Sus scrofa: one gene and its partners. The protein of the gene in region 3 interacts with the protein of the main gene of each other region in a pairwise test. Links are inferred from orthologs where the notes say so. Each region holds a gene or a part of one and is shown on either strand. Other genes may lie near its edges. The genes, in order: RND1, ARL15, PDE6D, HRAS and RAP1A.

What was found.
Region 1: the proteins of PDE6D (region 3) and RND1 interact in a two-hybrid assay, tested with the Homo sapiens proteins (2 studies listed by BioGRID). The link is inferred for Sus scrofa from reciprocal best matches to the Homo sapiens genes PDE6D and RND1.
Region 2: the proteins of PDE6D (region 3) and ARL15 interact in binary tests that used the Homo sapiens proteins (3 or more experiments, as listed by UniProt). The link is inferred for Sus scrofa from reciprocal best matches to the Homo sapiens genes PDE6D and ARL15.
Region 4: the proteins of PDE6D (region 3) and HRAS interact in a two-hybrid assay, tested with the Homo sapiens proteins (2 studies listed by BioGRID). The link is inferred for Sus scrofa from reciprocal best matches to the Homo sapiens genes PDE6D and HRAS.
Region 5: the proteins of PDE6D (region 3) and RAP1A interact in a two-hybrid assay, tested with the Homo sapiens proteins (2 studies listed by BioGRID). The link is inferred for Sus scrofa from reciprocal best matches to the Homo sapiens genes PDE6D and RAP1A.

Annotation. Positions count from the first base shown.
Region 1 is NC_010447.5:14,914,141-14,916,596, forward strand, and holds the end of RND1 (rho-related GTP-binding protein Rho6), read right to left. Parts: intron 1,619-2,456; coding exon 1,373-1,618; 3' UTR 512-1,372; downstream 1-511. UniProt on the Homo sapiens protein: Lacks intrinsic GTPase activity. Has a low affinity for GDP, and constitutively binds GTP. Controls rearrangements of the actin cytoskeleton. Induces the Rac-dependent neuritic process formation in part by disruption of the cortical actin filaments.
Region 2 is NC_010458.4:33,572,749-33,576,962, forward strand, and holds the start of ARL15 (ADP-ribosylation factor-like protein 15), read right to left. Parts: upstream 2,801-4,214; 5' UTR 2,786-2,800; coding exon 2,603-2,785; intron 1-2,602.
Region 3 is NC_010457.5:132,423,866-132,428,045, reverse strand, and holds the start of PDE6D (retinal rod rhodopsin-sensitive cGMP 3',5'-cyclic phosphodiesterase subunit delta), read left to right. Parts: upstream 1-1,367; 5' UTR 1,368-1,576; coding exon 1,577-1,626; intron 1,627-4,180. UniProt on the Homo sapiens protein: Promotes the release of prenylated target proteins from cellular membranes. Modulates the activity of prenylated or palmitoylated Ras family members by regulating their subcellular location.
Region 4 is NC_010444.4:299,739-303,813, reverse strand, and holds the start of HRAS (GTPase HRas), read left to right. Parts: upstream 1-1,274; 5' UTR 1,275-1,430; intron 1,431-2,576; 5' UTR 2,577-2,603; coding exon 2,604-2,714; intron 2,715-2,885; coding exon 2,886-3,064; intron 3,065-3,142; coding exon 3,143-3,302; intron 3,303-3,388; coding exon of another isoform or gene 3,389-3,451; exon of another isoform or gene 3,452-3,470; intron 3,471-3,728; coding exon 3,729-3,848; 3' UTR 3,849-4,075. UniProt on the Homo sapiens protein: Involved in the activation of Ras protein signal transduction. Ras proteins bind GDP/GTP and possess intrinsic GTPase activity.
Region 5 is NC_010446.5:108,688,438-108,691,952, forward strand, and holds part of RAP1A (ras-related protein Rap-1A), read right to left. Parts: intron 2,728-3,515; coding exon 2,659-2,727; intron 591-2,658; coding exon 534-590; intron 1-533. UniProt on the Homo sapiens protein: Counteracts the mitogenic function of Ras, at least partly because it can interact with Ras GAPs and RAF in a competitive manner. Together with ITGB1BP1, regulates KRIT1 localization to microtubules and membranes.

The DNA of each region.
Region 1 (2,456 bases), on a different chromosome or scaffold from region 3:
ACATTTTTGGTTTTGACAACTCAGGGGTGCTACTCATACCCAGCACGCAGAGGCCAGGAAGGCTAAGCATCCTCGAGTGCACAAGACAACCTCACAACAAAGCATTATCTAATCCAAGATGTCATTTGGTCTGAGGTTGGGAAATCCTGCTCTAGTGCTAAAGAGATCTCATTTGCCTCGGCAGGACTGGGGCGGGGAAGGAGATGAGGTGGGAGGTGGGGGTCGGGGCGATGCGGGGGGAGGGGATCCTTGTTAGAGGTGCCAGGGAACGGGGCTGGCAGCCACTGTGCAACCCACAGAAAGGACCTCAGGACAGCTTTTCCTCATTATCAAAGACCAAAGGAGGAGGTTCCGTTGTGGCGCAGCAGGTTAAGGCTCCAGCGCTGCTGCAGCCGTGGTGCGGGCTGCAACTGCAGTTTGCTCAGCCTGGGAGTTTCCACCTGCCAAGGGTGTGGCCAAAACAAAACAAAACACCCAAAGGAAACAAAGAAACTAAGAACACTGGAGCCAGCTTCTTTATATGTGTTATATTTTTCATTAATAAATAGGTTTTCTTCTTTAAACACAGAACATATAACAGATTGAAACACTCCCCCCTCCCCCCAATTCCAAAGACGAGAGTCTATAAAACAAATGCCAGCTATACTGCCCCAAGGGCAGAGAAAGTCTGGTGACCCCCACCCAGCCCTGCCCCCTGCAGCACCACCACCCCCACACTGCAAGAGAAGGGGGTCTGGGGCTTCTCCCTTGGACCCTGGGGACTTAGGTGAGAAGCATGAGAATGCATGATGTCACCTCTCCAGGAGGCATGGGCTACGCAAAGATGAGGTTTCCTTCGCATTGGCTCTGACCAGCTCCTGCCCTTCTGATTTCAGTTATGAAGCACCCGGGCTCGGCTCCCAGAGGAGCTGCCTCTTGGCTTCCCCCCGCTCTCCACTCATCCGCAGCCTCCTTGGAGGGGAAGGGAAGGGCTCAGGCACCCCTCCCATCCCCTGGCCCGCATGGAAACGCTGTGTGGAAGAGGCATGATGCTGAAGGTGAGGCTCCCGGAGGCCCCCAACCGAAGCCATGAGGCCAGCATGCCCCCCAGGCCCCCACACCTGTCCTTCCTCTGGAGCGGAGGGCACGGGGACAGCCGCCCCCTCTACCACCTAGTGCCTGGCTTGGGGTGTGATGGTTCTTTCTCAGTGTCAGGTCCTCAAGCCGGGCCTGGCTCTTTCCTTGTCCCGTTCCTGTCTCCTTCCAAGCCCTCACCGTGGCCGTCTGAAAAACTCGTGTCCAGTGTCCTAAAATGTCTCCTCCTCCCTCTCCCCGTGCCTCTGCAACCCCAGGGAGGAAGTGGGAGGTTGGCTCCCCTCTCGAACCCCCAACTTCACATAATGGAACAGCTTTTGGCCTTTTCCTTCTTGAAGGTGGAAGAGATGAGTTCGGAACGACTGGGGAGGTGGAGCAGCCGCTTGGAGAGGCTTCGGACAGGGCTCTTCGGGGGCACGGGGCTGGGCTTGTTCAGACACACCATGGACGCCGTCCGGAAGATGCTATGGATGCTCTTCTCGGAGGTGAAAGCCGAGCCTTCCAAGTAGATTTCCGCACCCAGCTGTTTGGCTATTGCACAGCCCTGGAGGGGAAGTGAGGTCATCAGGGCAGGGATCCAAGACGGCTCTGAAACACCACCTTCTGCCTTCCGAGGTTAGCGGTCCTCCCCGCAGCTATGCTGATGGGCCCAACTGCCAGTCTCCCACCACCCCCCTCTGCTGATTATTTTCCTTTTTTCTTTTTAAAATTCTGTCTTATTTTTTGGCCACAGCACCCACAGCATATGAAGTTCCCAGGACAGGGATTAAACTCGAGCCACATCAGCAACCTGAACCTCAGCAGTGACCCAAGCCACAGCAGTAACAACGCTGGATCCTTAACCCACTGAGCCACCAGGGAACTCCTCTGCTGATTATTTTCTGAAAGTGATAGAGTCATTGGGAATACTTTTAAAACCACACTGTTGCCAAACCAAATAAATTGGAATTTCTGTGGGTAGGTCTAGACAATAGTATTTTTAAGAGCTCTCCAGGCAACTGTAATGTGAACATTGTTTTAAAACAAATGATCCTGGAGTTCCCATCGTGGCGCAGTGGAAACAAATCTGACTAGGGACCATGAGGTTGCGGGTTCAATCCTTGACCTTGCTTAGTGGGTCAAGGATCCGGCATGGCCATGAGCTGTGATGTAGGTCACAGAGACGGCTCAGATCTGGTGTTGCTGTGGCTGTGGTGTAGGCAAGCAACTACAGCTCCGATTAGACAACTAGCCTGGGAACCTCCATATGCTGTGGGTGCAGCCCTAAAAAGACAAAAATAAAAAAAATTTTTTTAAATAATAATAATAAAACAAATGATCCTTACACTCCCATGTGCATAAGGAATTATCCAGGGATTTAATTTATTTGGGGTTTTTGTTTG
Region 2 (4,214 bases), on a different chromosome or scaffold from region 3:
TCAACTATAACATATGCTCATTGTGGAGTTCCCGTTGTGGCACAGCAGAAACAAATCCAACTACGAACTATGAGGTTGCTGCAGGTTCGATCCCTGGCCTCCTCAGTGGGTTAAGGATCTGACATTGCCTTGAGCTGTGGTGTAGGTCGAAGACACGGCTCAGATCCTGTGTTGCTGTGGTGTAGGCCGGTGGCCGTAGCTCCGACTGGACCCCTAGCCTGGGAACCTCCATATGCTACAGGTGCAGCCCTGAAAACAAACAAACAGAAAACCACACACACACACAACCACCTTATTTCTTGATAGTTATTTCAACATGTGAAAAAATGCTTTTTGAAAAATAAAGATGCTTTCAAGACTGAGATCAGCCACTTAAACTCATATTAAAAGATCAATTCTGACTGGAAATTAACCAAACCTTAAAAACCAATTGCCATTGGATTAGAAGTCTGTTTTCAAGAAACAGATTGTAATATGTCCTTAGTATACCCTAATCAAGAACATATTAAAACATAGTTCAAGATAATGAAATGTAATATATTAATTCCCTAGGAACTTTAATAATGTTAAAAAGACCTAGTCATTTTTTATTACTCAAATGACTTTATCACATTTGTAATTATATAATGATAATAATCCAATTTTACAGGATTTCCTTCCCATAACCCAAGAAGACCTAGTCATTTCTTTTAAAAATTACAACTTAAAAACCTTCTGTAAACAAACTGACATGCCTGCCTTCATAACACCTATGACCCCAAAAGCCAAATCATATCTTTTACAGTCTCAAAGTTGACAATTCAGATCATTCTTGTAAATGATAGACACTTTTTTACTGTTTAAATTGTTTTTATTGTTTTATTTTTCTGAACATCTTCTCTTCCTCAAAGACTTTATAGATACTGTGTTTCATGTTGGTACAAGTTGGGCCTTCAGGGAAGCAAACACTGACAAAGAATTAGAAATACAGAAGGTTTATTAACATACAGCACCTGTGAAAGAAAATAGCTGTGGGATTAAGATGGGGGTAGCAAGTAACCACAGAACATTATACACACCTAACAAAGCCTCTACTGGGAACTCCCAAGCAAAAATTGCCCAATAGAGACGACCAAGCTGGGCAGAAACAGCTAGACCTTTGTACCAGCAACTTGTTTCGTCATTGGTTGAGGGGGCAACTTCAAGAAGGAAGAATCCCAAGAAAAGTACCAACCCCAAGGTTGAAGCAGAGCCTGAAAGAGCTGACAGCTGCAAACTATCAGCTCATTACACGCCAGGCAACTGCATGAGTCCTTTCTTGAATTTTGCTTCTCCTTGTCAGCTGCTTGTGGTATGTGAACTTCTTTCGGTAGCCTAGCTTGGTACCTTACATATAGCCCTTACACCATTCAAGACTGGTGGGTTGCTAAGCATGTGGACTTTGCCATTTACTACAACCAACCCTGTTGTGTCATTGTGTCACTGCTTGAACATACTTAGTACCTTCTGAGATGGGCAGCTCTGAGAGTGAAGAGAAAAGTTAACAAATCCACCTGACCCCACAATCAACATCCTGAAATCTCACAGCAAAAGTCAGATGAAATAAAGTTCCCAGTACCACATATTAATAAGATAAAGAATTTCCTTCCCTATTTACAGAGTAACTCTTCACCCCTTTGACTGCTGTAGAAGTATTAAGACAACTCCCTCACCTCCATTTGGCAGTAAAAGAATGAGATCCACAAAGATAGAATTAGAGACATGAGCTTATGAGAGATGAACCATTTTGTAAGATAGTGGCTACAGAGGTGGCAGTTAACAAGACAGAACAGAGAAAAGGTTGACTCCTCAATTCTTGAGTGGAGAAAGCCAGAGAGAAGCAAGCCGATTCCCGCTACAGGGCTCCCAGCAGCTCAGGGAAAAGAAGCACCTGAGGCTGAAAATACCAAACTGGCGTGAGTCTTATTTTTTGCTGTTGTTGTTTTTAATTTTTATTTTTGGCCACTCTTGTGGCATTTTGAACCCACACTGCAGCAGCGTCTCAAGCCACAGCAGTAACACCACCATATCCTTAATCCACTGTGCCACAAGAGAACTCCAGCTGTGAGTCTTAAAGACTCACTTGAGCCCATTGATCTGCCCCACTCTGCAAAGCCAGGTCACCATCCCACCAGTGCCCTGAACAAAGACCAGCATGAAAGTTTCCTTCTGAGATTAAACTGGAAAGGGTTTGACCTCACAGATACCAGGTAGAACCTAAAAGCAAAGAGTAAATTCAGTAGGAGTAGAAGAAAGCTAAGGAAATCACCAAAAAGGTAAATGAAAAGCAGTTGGGTAAAGGAAATTAGCATATCAACCTGGAGACATAAAACCCACTTAGATGTTTCAAAACAAAGAAAGAAAAACAGTAATGCTGGTGGGAAGAAATTATCAAGTAATTCTAGCAAAGCTTCTATAACCCAATTTTCAGACCCAAAACACCACAAATGTGCACAACTTTAAGTGAAAAAGACACATTACCATTAAAGAAATAGCAATTTTAAAACCTTCCTACAGAAGCGCCACGCCACAGTGTACAATCAAGTTCTAATAAACAATCCAGAACAAAAAGTTCCAATCTTACAGCTATTCCAGAGTTGGTCTCTTCTGAGGCCTCTCTCCCCAGCCGGCAGACACACGCCTTCTCCGAGTCCTCACCTCCACCGATGCGTACCCCCCTAACGTGGGCTGCTCTTTGCGGCCTAAAGCTCCTCCCCTTATAAAGGCTCCAGTCAAATTGGCTTAGGGTCCACCATGACCTCCTCATTTTTACTTAATTACCTCCTCAACAGCCCTATCTGCCTACCCAATCACTATCTGAGGTACGGGGGTTAGCACTTGAACCTGTGTATTTGGGGGTGGGAGTAGGCAATTCAGCCCTTAACAACATTCCAGGTTGGCAATATATTCAGATTGTGAGGGATAGTTACAAAAACCTTACACAAGTGTATTCAATGATACAACATTTAAAAGCCTTTGCTTTAAAGTCAGGAAAAAGATAAGGGTGCCAATTATCACTGCTTCTGTGCTGTTATAGCAAAGGCCCTGGACAGCATTATCAGACAAAAATATAAACAATAAAAATGGAAAGAAGCAAACAGCTCATCTGCAGATTGTGGTCGTGTGTGTAAAACACAAATCTACATATCAGTTATTAAAATGAAAAAATCGTGTTACTCCTTAAAAATCAATATAAAATTGGGTTTCTAGTTACTTAGCAACAAAGTTAGGAGATGTATTTTATTTTTTTAATTTTTTTATTTTTGGAAAGAACACTTTTATTTATTTATTTATTTATTTTTCATTTTTTTATCTTTAATTTTTTTAACAATGATCATCACAATCCAGTTTCACAGGATTTCCATCCCACAACCCAACCACATCCCTAAACCCCCCAAACTGTCTCCTCTGGAGACCATAAGTTTTTCAAAATCTGTGAGTCAGCATCTGTTCTATAAAGAAGTTCAGTCTGTCCTTTTTTCAGATTTCACATGTCAGTGAAAACATTTGATGTTGGTGTCTCATGGTATGGCTCACCTCACTTAGCATGATAATTTCTAGGTCCATCCATGTTGCTAAAAAATGCCAGTATCTCGTTCCTTTTAATGGCTGAGTAATATTCCATTGTGTATATGTGCCACATCTTCTTGATCCACTCCTCTGTCGATGGACATTTAGGTTGTTCCCATGTCTTGGCTATTGAAAAGAGTGCTGCAATGAACACTGGAGTATGTGTGTCTTTTCGAGTCATGGTTTTCTCTGCATAGATGCCCAGGAGTGGGATTGCTGGATCAAATGGTAGTTCTACGTTTAGTTTTCTGAGGAATCTCCACACTGTTTTCCACAGTGGTTGCACCAATTTACAATCCCACCAACAGTGCAATAGGGTTCCTTTTTCTCCAGGAGATGTATTTTAAAATAACCTTTAAAGTAGAAATTCTAAAGGCACCTAAACATAATCCTTACGACCATAGGATTGTGAGAGAAATCTAAAACTTGAATACATGTGATGTTCATGGATGGAAAGACTGTTTTAGAGGTGTAATTCTCAAGTTGATGTATCAATTCAACATGATAACATTCAAAATCACAGAGGGTATTATGTCGAAACACTTCTTAACTACCCTTAATTTGAAGATAGTGCCCTCCTCTCTGTGGCTGAAGCACTTATGCATATTTATATGCTGGTATTTATC
Region 3 (4,180 bases):
GGGAGACAGCCCCTCAGATAGCTTTGAGGAACTGCTCCAAAGAGATATGGGAGGAGCCAGGATACACAGTTTTTTCCCGAAAAAAAAATGAACATTTAGTCGAACACAAAAGAGCACTGCCAATCACAAAAACTAGACATCTCGGATTAATGATTAATGCTTTTCTATGAATGGGAAGAAGCAAGAGTCTGGGCTCATTGAAATTATTCCTTAGATATGCATCTTAACTATGTAGGGCAAGTATCCTGTTTTCCTCCATGTATCCTGAATTCACCTCTGAGCCCATCTTCCGGGGTGGCTTCAGTGGCCAGTGGCTTGATAGTGGGTAACATTCATTGTTTACTGAAATGGCAGGCAACATTTTTTATTCCCACTAACCTCTGGGTGTTTCAACCTGAGTGGGAAAACTTCACCAAGGAGAATATTAAGATAGCATAGCCATGCTGCTAAAAATATCACCACCCTAGTGTAGAGCAAAGAGCCCAGACTACAGTAGACTTAAGAGCCCAATCCTAACTCTGCCCCAACTTGCTGTAACCTGTGAACAATCTTTTTGCCTCTTTGGGCCTCGGTTTCTTCATATGTAAAACAGGGGCTGGATTAGCAAATTCTCCTAAGCCTAACTGTATTGATATTCTGAGTTCACAATCCATATCTCTTCCAGTCCAACGCAGGAGCACAGCAGAGACCTCTACAAAACACGTAAAAGGCGCCCCAGGCCAACGAGCAAGCCTGATTTCAACGAGTCATTTTGTTATATTAGCTTTCATGGTTTAATCAGTGTTTTGGGGTTTGTTGTTTCAGGCTTACCATGATTTGCAGGAGATTTCTGAGTTCCATGTAAATACAAGTTGTCTCTCTGTGGGCTGTCATCTTCTTTTGAGGTTGAAGAGGATCTTCCCAAAGAGTTTCAAGTCTCGGGATTCAGAAACCACCAAGCCTACAGGCAGATGTATGAATTTGCGCACACTGCGCGGCACACTGGAATCTAAGTTACAGAGGACTAGGGTGCAGGGAATGCTGGGATTTGCAGTCCCTGGGCTTTTTGTTGCGTGCTGGGATATGTGGTCCCTCGGACAACCCCCTAGAATGCTGGGAAGTGTAGTCTCCGCCACATCGCACAGGGCAGCCTGCCGTCATCTCAGAGCCCTACTGTCCCCAGCCGCAGGAGCAAGCCCCTGGAGCCTCTGCCGATCTGAAGCCAACCCTCCTCTGAGGCAAACTCTAGGCAACCACACCGAATGAAAAAATCTGTCCTACGGGACTTCCCGGGATGGGCCCTTCCCATTGACGCTCTTCGTCCCCCTGCGAAGCCGCTGAGTGTTTCTATTGGTTGATCAAGATGCCAATCGCCAAGACGGGCTTTCCATTGGCTTCCGGGCGGGCGCTCCGCGGCCAGGGGGAAGGAGAAGGGATCAGGAGTGGGAGCTGAGGGGAGGGAGAGGCGGGTCCGGGTCTGGTCGCAGCCGCTGCTCGCCCGAGGTGTCCAGGCCGGCTCGGTCCTCGGCTCCTGGGCACCATCTGCGAGGCTCCGCCGGGCCAGCGAGGGAGAGCCGCAGGCGGCGGCCGCCGCATCATGTCAGCCAAGGACGAGCGGGCCAAGGAGATCCTGAGGGGCTTCAAACTGTATCCACCCGGGAGCGGGGCGGGGCCGGGAGGACTTGGGAGGCGGCCGCTCGCTGAGGAGACCGGCCGGGGGCGGGGGCCGCACCAGGTGGGCACCCGGGAGGGGGCGGTGGGAAGGGAGGGAAGGAAAGGCGTCCCGGGTCCCCGGCGGGACGGGGCGCAGAAGGCGCGGAGAGGGACGTCCGGAGGGAGGGAGGGAGGGGACGTTGACGGGAGCCCCGGGGTTAGAGGCGAGGAGCCCCGGAATTGAGCTTAGAGAGGCGCAGGGCGTCGGAAACGGGTGTCGGGAAGGCGCGCTTGGGTCCGAGAAGAGAGGCCGGGAAGGAGCTGCGGCCCGCAGGCAAGGGCCGAGGGGGCGCGGTGGGCTGGCCTCGAAGCCCAGCTGCCTCTTTGGCGGGAAGCCCACCCGGGCAGCAGGGAAAAGTGACTTGGAGCGAGTGACCTTGTGTGGGACAAATGCAGAAGCGGGTATCGAACTGTCTCGGGTTCTCCCATCCCATCCCACCCCACCCCACCCCCCGCGGCTTGTTTCCACAACTTCTCTTCCTCACTTGTGGCTCCTTCCAGGGCTGGAGAGGCAGGTGCGGCGGGAGAAGTCTGAGATGGACCTCATCTTAACTCTGTCTCGGCCCTTGGAGGCATTGGGCGGTCGCTGCTTCTCCCTTAGCTCCTCAGTTTTATTTTCCAGCGAAATAAGGGCCCTAAATTTGTGTGTGTGAGATGCGGTGCGATGCCTCGAGGTATTGTGGTTTTGCACTGGGACTCCTGGCAAAGGCTTCTGCTCCGTCCAGTTTGTGTGGTTAACGCGTAGAGCTGGTGGAGCTGTCCAGCAATTATTTGATTACGTTGGGGACACCGTAGGATTTAGTAGGATATAGAAATCATTGCCTCAGGCCTGTTACGGTGCAGCGGGTGCAACCTTCTCACTGTCGTGAGGCTTGGTGTTTTAATGGAGTGTTAATCTGTGACCATATGATGCAGATGAAAAAAAAATGCAATCTTGTCCATTCCAATTTTACATTTTCCTACTGACCTTAATCTCTTCCTATACCTACCATATGGAACATGCTTAAATTCTTCTCTCAGTGAAGATGTAGTTACCATTTAGGGCACCTCCCCTGGAGGTTTAGTCAATCCCTGTTCTCTGAGCTGACTCTGTGTTTTCACAATGCCCATGTCACCCCTGCAAGTTTTAATTGCTTTGTCATAATCAGAAACCAAGTATAAATTTTAAAACACAACAGCAAAAAAGTTACAGGAAGTTTCGGATGTATAAATGAAATTTTTCAAATAGAAGCTGATTTGCCATAGGCGTTATCACCTTTGCATACTGCCGTTCATGATAAACTTCCAGCAGTTTTATACAGTGAAGTTTAGTAACAGCCTCTTATAGGTCCATATACCTTTCCGTGTTCCTCTTCACAGTAGCGCCTATAAGTAGATAGGGGTGGCTGAAGTGTTAGAAAAGCTATGACATGGACTTTATTTTTCCCTTAAGTAATGTATTTTGTTATGTAACATTTATGCTATAGACAGTAAACTAGAGACTATGGAGAATTGAGAGATTTCAGAAGCAATATTTTTGTCTGATTGGAGTTAACATTTTACTCAAAGTAAAAAAGAGTCTTTTTAATGGCTTTTGAACAAAGCAAAGCAAAAGAGAAAGTTTGAGCTTCTCACTTTCAGTCTTTGCTCCGAAACCTTGTTCAGAAAGAAAGAGGCTAAGAGAGGAGTTCTCTGGTGGCCTAGCAGGTTAAGGATCTGTTATTTTCACTGCTGTGGTTCAGGTCAGAACTTGGTGCGGGTTTGATCACTGGCCCTGGAACTTCCACAGGCCATGGGCTTGGGCAGAGAGAGAGAGAGAGAAAGAAAGATAAAGGAAGGAAGAAAGAAAAGAAAATATAAGAAAAGAAAAGGGCTAAGGGACAAATATGGAAAAACATAGAAAGCAGAACCTGTATCATCCGCTAGAAAGGAAGATGAATTAACCAATTAAGTAATGACTTCAGTGTTTTCTGGGAAATTTTTTGACATGGGCTGATTAAATCGCAAGGGAAGCAGCCAATGAAAAATGTTAGCATGGGAGCAATGGATGCTCATCCTCCCTTTGCCTTCACTGGTATCTGAATTAAGAGTGAAATGGAAAGGAGTTCTAGAATTTGTTACTACCTTCAGGAAAAAATAAAATTAGTGTTTTAGTAGGAAACTACCTGACTGTTGTCCATCTTTTCTTGGATAAATTGTCTTTCTGAACTTTCTTTCAAAGTATCTTTTTTTCTGTAGGAAGAGTTTTTACTATAAAAAATCTCCAAATCTCCATTATATTCTTCTACCAACAATGTTGACAGTGCTTGTTTTCCACATTGACTATGTTGTTCTTTTTTATTTTTACTGATTTGATCAATAGATGATAGCTTGTTTTAATTTGTATTTCCCTGATACCTAGATCCCTCAAGAGGTAATATAGGCTAGTGATTAAGGGCTGTACTGGTCTATAGAGCTATTCTGTCTGAATTGAATTCCAGCCCTGCACACTTGGTGTGTATCCCTTATG
Region 4 (4,075 bases), on a different chromosome or scaffold from region 3:
GGGGGGACACAGCCGGGGTGGGGTGGGCGCGGTCGTGGGGCCAGGGGCGGACCCCCGGGGGCCTGCCATGGTCGAGGCCTCAGCGGGGTGAGCTCCTGGGGAGCAGCGCGGAGCCGGCGCGGGAGGAGTAGGGATGGAAGGGGGTGCCGGCTGAGCCGAGGGAGGTTTGGCCATACGTGTAATGCACCGTTTTTTCTGGTAAACAAGCAGGATGCGTTTATTCGTTACTTTGAAAATTTCTAAAATGCTGAAAACATGTGTTTCTGAGAGCCTCTAAAGGAGGGCCGGTGGGCATGTTTGCGCCTCGGATGAAGGAGACTTCACCTCACCCCCTTCTGGGTTGGATTTGCTGGGTACCTTTTGCTAACTGGGCCTCAGGGTGAGCTTCTGCAGCGCTGGGACCTCCGGGTTTGGGGGAAGCTGCTTGGACAGGGAGTCTGCAAGGTCTGCCCAAATTGGGGGAAGCTGGTGATGAGGGATGGGGAAGAGGGGCCCTTCTCCGAGCGCCAGTCGCTACGTGAGTAGCCCCCCCCAACCCCCGGTAAAAACACTTGGCCAGATTCAATGCTCCGTGGGCTCAGACGCCCCCGTCAGGCCCTAGACGTAAGATTTGAGCTGAGACCAACGACCCCGCCGAAGCTGCCAGGCGTCCCGGGAGCGGTAGGAGCGCCTCCAGGAGCCACCTGCCCCTGCCCCTCCTCCCCGCAGCCGCTCCGATTTTCTACGGCCCCGGCTCCCCGCGTGTCTTCGGTGCTGACCTCGCGGGCTCCATCTTCCCTGAGGCTCGGCCCCCGGGCTGTCCCCTCCGCTCCCCGACCCCCTGCGGTGGGCTGCGCAGCGCAGGGAGAGCCTGGGGCGCGTGGGCGCACCCGTGAGCAACTTCGAGGGCCGAGGGGCCCGGTGCGGGGCTCGAGTTGGGCCCTGAGGACCCTGCCCCAGTCCGCAACGGGCCTCGACCCGCTTCTCCGCGGGATCTCTGTCTCCCTGAGGGCCCTGCTTATTCCTGGGAGAGTCCAGGCCGTCCACGGAGCAGCTTCCTCCCCCGGACCCCACAGCCGGCCCACCAAGACCCACAGGCCGCGGCCCACGCGGGCCACCAGGGCCGACACCGCCCTCCGCGCCGCTCCCGGAAGCCCCGCCCGGCCCGAGGCATCTGACAGGCGGGCCTCCCGGCCAATCGGGGCGGGGCGAAGAGGCTCTAGGGCGGGGCCCGGCAGGCGCAGCCAATGGCGGGCCGCGCCTGGTTGACGGACGGGGGCGAGGCGGGGCGTGCGCGGGCCCGGTCGAGAGTCCGCAGCCAGCTGCCGGAGCCGCACCCGCCGCGGACGGAGCCCATGCACTGGGCGAGCCGCGCGCCCTGGCCCCGGCCCCCGCCGCCGCCCCCGCCCCGGCCCCGGCCCCGGCCCCGGGGGCAGTCGCGCCAGTGAGCGGTGAGTGCGGCGGGGACCACGGGGGGCGGCGGGGGCCGGGCCGGACGGGGGCCCGCGGTTCTCGCTGGGCGCGCGGGCGCGCGGGGGCGCAGGTGAGCCGCGGGCGGCGGCGGGCGGGGCGCTGCGGCTGGGGCTGCAGGCGGCGGCTGGTACGCCCTGCCTCGCCCAGGCCAGCCCCTCCGACTCCAGGTCCCGGGCCCTGTCTTCTGGGGCCCCGCAAGCGCTCTCAGTCTGTTCTCTGACTGCTCCCCGAGCCGAGGCCCGCCCATGACCATGGCCCTGGGCAAAGTCTCTCCCCCTGCAGCGTTCCAAGGATCCCTGCGAAGAACTCGGGCACCCGGCGGCCATCACACACACCAGGCAAACCTAGAGTTTAGGAAGTCACTGCCCTCTGTCCCCGCAGGGTACCTACCCTGTCTAAACATCTCCAGCTGGGGCTGGGGGGCCTTGGCCCCAGGCCCTTTTTTTCCCTTCTCGCTTGTTCCCTTGTGCCACACAAGGTCTTTTCCTGTTGATCAGCTCCTGCTTCCTGGAGCCCTGGCCCCTGCCGGCCTCTTCACCTGCCTTGGTTTATGTTCCCCAAAGTTCTTATGCCGAGAGGGCGCCGCAGGTTTCCCTTTATTTTCACTTATGTGAGTCTGGCTTGGAGCGTGGCCTGAGCTTGTCGGTAGGGGTTCCTCCCGACTGCCTGTCACCCTGTGCCTGGAACAGCACCTGGCATGCAGTAGGCACTCAGTGAATACTTGTCAAATGCACCAGCATGCCCGGAGGGGCCTGGAGCTGGTTGTTGGCTGCCACAGGCCTGTCTGGGCATGCTGCCTGGCCCGCCACTGTGGCAAGACCTGTTCTCATGGGGGGCGCTTGTAACCTCAGCCCGCGGTGCCTCCAGTTCAGGCTTTTTGCCTATCCAGCACCTTCTAATTCGGGTGCGTGCCTGGGAGATGCTCCCTCCTGTCAGCCCTGCCTCTGGGGCCGGCTCCCTGCTTCTCTCCCGCAGTCATTAAGTGCAGCTGGAGGTGCCACAGGTGCGCCGCGGGGCCGCGGTTGTGGCTGCGACCCCTGTTACCTGGATGTACGGGCCCTGGGAGCTCAGCGGGCCTGTCTTGCATGGTCTGGCCACGCTGAATGCTGCTTCCTCCACTGCAGTCCTGTGCTGTGGCCTCCTGAGGAGCGATGACGGAGTATAAGCTGGTGGTGGTGGGCGCTGGAGGTGTGGGGAAGAGTGCCCTGACCATCCAGCTTATCCAGAACCACTTTGTGGATGAGTACGACCCCACCATAGAGGTGAGCCTCCAGCCCGCATCCCGATGTGGGCTTGTCTTCTGCCCGCTCTGCAGGACGGGTTCCCCTCGTCACAGGTCCTGGGCGGGCACGAGAGGAGCGCGGGAGGGGCTGGTGGTGTGAACAGCCCATCCCGGGCGGGCCAGAGGTCCCTAAGTGGTGTCCCCCCCTCAGGACTCCTACCGGAAGCAAGTGGTCATTGACGGGGAGACGTGCCTGCTGGACATCCTGGACACCGCGGGCCAGGAGGAGTACAGTGCCATGCGGGACCAGTACATGCGCACCGGGGAGGGCTTCCTCTGCGTGTTCGCCATCAACAACACCAAATCTTTCGAGGATATCCACCAGTACAGGTGAGCTGCCCGCGGGCCTCGCTTGGGGGCCCAGAGCACGCCGGCACCCTGCCCGCTGGCTCACACCTCCCCTTGCAGGGAGCAGATCAAGCGGGTGAAGGACTCGGACGACGTGCCCATGGTGCTGGTGGGGAACAAGTGTGACCTGGCCGCGCGCACCGTGGAGTCTCGGCAGGCCCAGGACCTCGCTCGCAGCTATGGCATCCCTTACATCGAGACCTCAGCCAAGACCCGACAGGTGAGCCGGAGCCCCGCCCCCAGCCGGCCAGGGCCCCGCCCCGCCCCGCCCGCAGCAGCGCTCACCGCCCCTCTCCCTCGACACAGGGCAGCCGCTCTGGCTCTGGCTCCGGCTCCGGGACCCTCTGGGACCCTCCGGGACCCCCGTGACCCAGCAGCCCCTCCTGCTGTAAGTGTCCCCGGATGGAAGGGGGGAGGTGGAGGTCCCCGGAGAGAGCTGCCCTGAGCCAGGCCGGAGCGGTGACCCTGGGGGCCCCCCCCGGGGGGGGCAGTCCCCTGTCGGCCCTGACCCCTTCGTGGGCTGTGGGGGAGCTGCTGAGGAAGAGGCCTCCTGACCGGTGGCCCTGGGGCCCCTGCTCCCCGAGTGTGGGCCAGGGGCGGGGCGGCGCCGCGGCGGGGCGGCCCTGAGCCCGCGCTCTCGTCCCAGGGGGTGGAGGACGCCTTCTACACGCTGGTGCGCGAGATCCGGCAGCACAAGGTGCGCAAGCTGAGCCCGCCCGACGAGGGCGGCCCCGGCTGCCTGAGCTGCAAGTGCCTGCTCTCCTGACACCGCCGCTGCCCCGTCTGCGGACCTTCTGCGGGGCCTCCATGCAGCTGGGCGCTGGGGCGCAGAGGTGGCGGATGCGGGGAGGAGGCGCACGCGGAGGAAGGAGGAAGGAGGAAGGAAGGAAGTGCCGCCGGCGCCCGGCCAGCCCCGGTCGGCGGCCACAGTGGCCGCAGGCCTCCCAGGACGCTTTGCACGGACTGTCGTGGACTGACGCCACTGGCACCCCA
Region 5 (3,515 bases), on a different chromosome or scaffold from region 3:
GGCATTTTGTGCCAAGTGATTTATAATCACTATTGCATTTGATCACTACAAGCACCCTATAATGTACTAACGTCATTATACTCATTTAAGGATGTGAAAAATTAGGCTCAAAATAATCCTAAAGACTTTTGGTCAGAAATACATATCTGTCACCAGAGATGTTAAAATGCTAATAAACCTTGAGATGTTAAAAGTGCTACTAAACCAATTTTTAAAAAAATGAATGACCGTGATCTGAATTTAAAATGCCTTTTTTTTTCTTTTCTTAGAAAGCAGTAATAGCACAATTTTTACCTCAATACAGGGAAAAGAAATTCAACACACAGATTCTGCAGATGAGCTCAACATCTAACACTGATATGTGAGCATTAAGTACATCATAGATAGTGCCACCCACATAAGAAAATTTAAGAAGTCCTACACAGAGACCAAGTTCTTAATCAGAATAAATGCTTTTACTCAGAGGAACCGTTCAGGCGACAAAAACCTATTCACAAATTAAAATCGATCACAAAAAGAGAAAACATGCTTACCGTTCCCGCTGTATCCAGGATTTCGAGCATACACTGTTGGCAGTCTACTTCAACTTGCTGTTGGGGTAGGGTGCGGGGGTGGAGGGGGATGAAAAAGTAACATCAAAATGTCAGTCTGTTTTCCTCCCACTTCTTTGCTCAAAGTACCTATTAACAACTACAAAGCCTTTCTCTAGCAGTTTCCTGTATCGGTGGAGATCTAACTTGGTGCTACAATAAAGAACAGGAGGTCTCAAACACATTCTATTAATACTACAAAGCCAGGACTGCTGATGCTGAGTTTAGGCATTTTCTGACCACTATGAACACTGAGTACTGATTTGTGTTGTTATTAAAAGGCAACGGTCATACCCTGTAATTTAAGAAAAACTATAACCAACAGGTATAATTCTAACAGGGGAAAAATGGATAAAGTATGTATATTTATATTCTCTTCAAAACAAAGCACACAAGTACTAAATAGTTCAAAATATAGCCAAGACTGGGAGGGTAAAGAAAACTTTGCCAACTTACCACATTCAAGCTGTTAGAGTTTTACTAAACAATGCCCCAAATTTAACACACAGGAGCATTAATTTAAGAGTTAAAAGGGAACACAGAATAACACTGAACTCCTACAGCTCTCAAGACTTCTACGTCTTTGGAAAAACTGTGTGCATAAGGCAAACTTTTAGATACTGGGTTCTACTTTCCCAGTGTTGCACAGAAGAGAAGGTTGGCCTAAAGCAAGTATCAACTATTAACCGTGTGGACATTTTTTAATAAAGAAGGGATTTAGAAAAGTGTAAAATCTTTGACATTCAAGGTACAGATCTTTGTTTGCAGTTAATGCTTTAACCAGCAACTGATTTGGGGGAAATTTCAGTAATGCAACACTGTCTTCTAAAAATAGACATACTGACCTAAGGACTATTTTAAACTCTGCTTCTGTGTCACATCAGGGATTGATGAGGAGCACGATGGGTAGAGTCCCAAACTCCACTGTTCCATTGTTTACGGGACTAAAGTGATAATAATCTGCCCTCTCTGTGAATGCGTATGTTCAACGAATAATGAATTCACTCTGTGGTTTCTCAATGTACCACCATTTGGTTTCCAATTTACAGATAATGAAACTGCTATTCCGGTAGGCTTGAAGAATTTAATTCAACAGAAATTATAGCACTATTTAAGGTAAATTTTAACATCCAACAAAGCAATTCTTTCTCATTTGTTGGAAGGGAGGTTTAATCTTTTTTTTTTTTTTTTTCTTTAATGTATCGTTGGCTACTAGGCTTTCTTACAACACTGTCTCCCTCCCTACCGCTGCCCCCACCATACTTGGGAAATAAAGACTTGAAAATTCTCCACAATTCCAGCTAGTTTTCTAATTAAATAGAACAGTATTTTTTTGTCAAGACCAACTACTTAAATTTCTTTTCCTTTTAAACAAACTTTACTTTTTAGAAAGCAGTTTTAGGTTCACAGCAAAACAGCAGAAAAAGTAGAGTTCCCACATACCATTTTCCTGTTCCCCGCTAGCCTCCCCCACCATCGGCATCCTGCACCAAAGTGGTACATTTGTGAAAATCAGTGAACCTGCATTTGCACCATTATCATGCAAAGTCCATAGTCTGCAGTTTTACTCTTGATGTTGTACATGCTACAGGTTAAGACAAATGTATGAGGCCATGTATCTACACTAAATTATTACACAGACTCCAACTGTCTAATTTTTTATAGTCTAAAGGTGAAATATCTTTAAAGTTATTATATAATTAAACAAAAATAACTTTCAGTCACTGGATAACCTCAAGTATAAAGTGATCTTAATTTTAGTTCACACAAAGAGTCATCAAAAATATACCTACTATTTATATGCAATTTTTCTATATTAAAAAAAAAGGCCACCAAGAAAATGGGTATATTAAAGGACTGATTACATTAATCAGCGAGAGAATGTGGAGCTCTCTTTAGCTAAGCAATATTCTACGAAAAATACCACGTCTTGGTGAAACTTTTAAAAACAGATACAGAACATTGGGTCATTTCTCAGAACTATTTTTAAAAAAGCAATTCCAGGGATCAAGTTTTAAAGTCATAAGAAACTACTTGTAAGCATGAGCATACACGTTTCACATTTTACCTTTCTGTAGGAATCTTCTATCGTTGGGTCATATTTTTCCACAAAAATTCCCTGAACAAATTGAACGGTCTAAAAAAAAAAAAAGCAGACAAAAGTTAAGGACTTAAAAGAAAAATCAGCCCCTCTTAAATGTTACTTAACCTTGCAAAATCGCAACGATTAAATGAAATTATGTGAAAACTCTGGTAAAAATGCAAATTGTAAAGTATCATTATTTTTCAATATAAGGATACATTCATAATTAAGAGTATACTTAGGAAAGGAAGTGGTTGTGTTAAAAACTGTCAGCAATGCTGCTGCTGACATTACACTGTTAAAATAATTACTACATTAAGTTTCAAAGTACAATGAAGATACAAATAAGATACATATAAGGATATGGATTCTAATTTATTAAAATGTGAAAATTTATCAGTATTTAAAGTCTTATTACTCCTTTATGAATCTGTAGCAATTTTTATCTTATGCCCTCAAAGGAGAGACTGTAAATTTTAAACAGTCTTCAAACAGCCTTTCTAATTGTGGGGGAAAATCAAGTTTTTCTGATTTGCCAGCTGAAATTCAAAAGTATCCCTTCCTGATTTCAAACCCTTGTTCTTTTCATTGGAAGACACTATACACCCATCTTTTTCAGATCATCTACTTTTATCTCTTAAATTTCTATAAGACTAGATATTTTGTCATTCCGTAAATGAAAAGAAGGACAGAAGGTAGTTGCGAGATATTTCCTGAACAGCTGGCACATCACTGCCTAAAAGCAAGGGTAAAAATGTGGCCTGAGGTCATCCACACTACAATTAGCCAGAGGAATATAAATGCACTATTTTAGCTTGAGCTAAATAGATTAACCTGAAGAT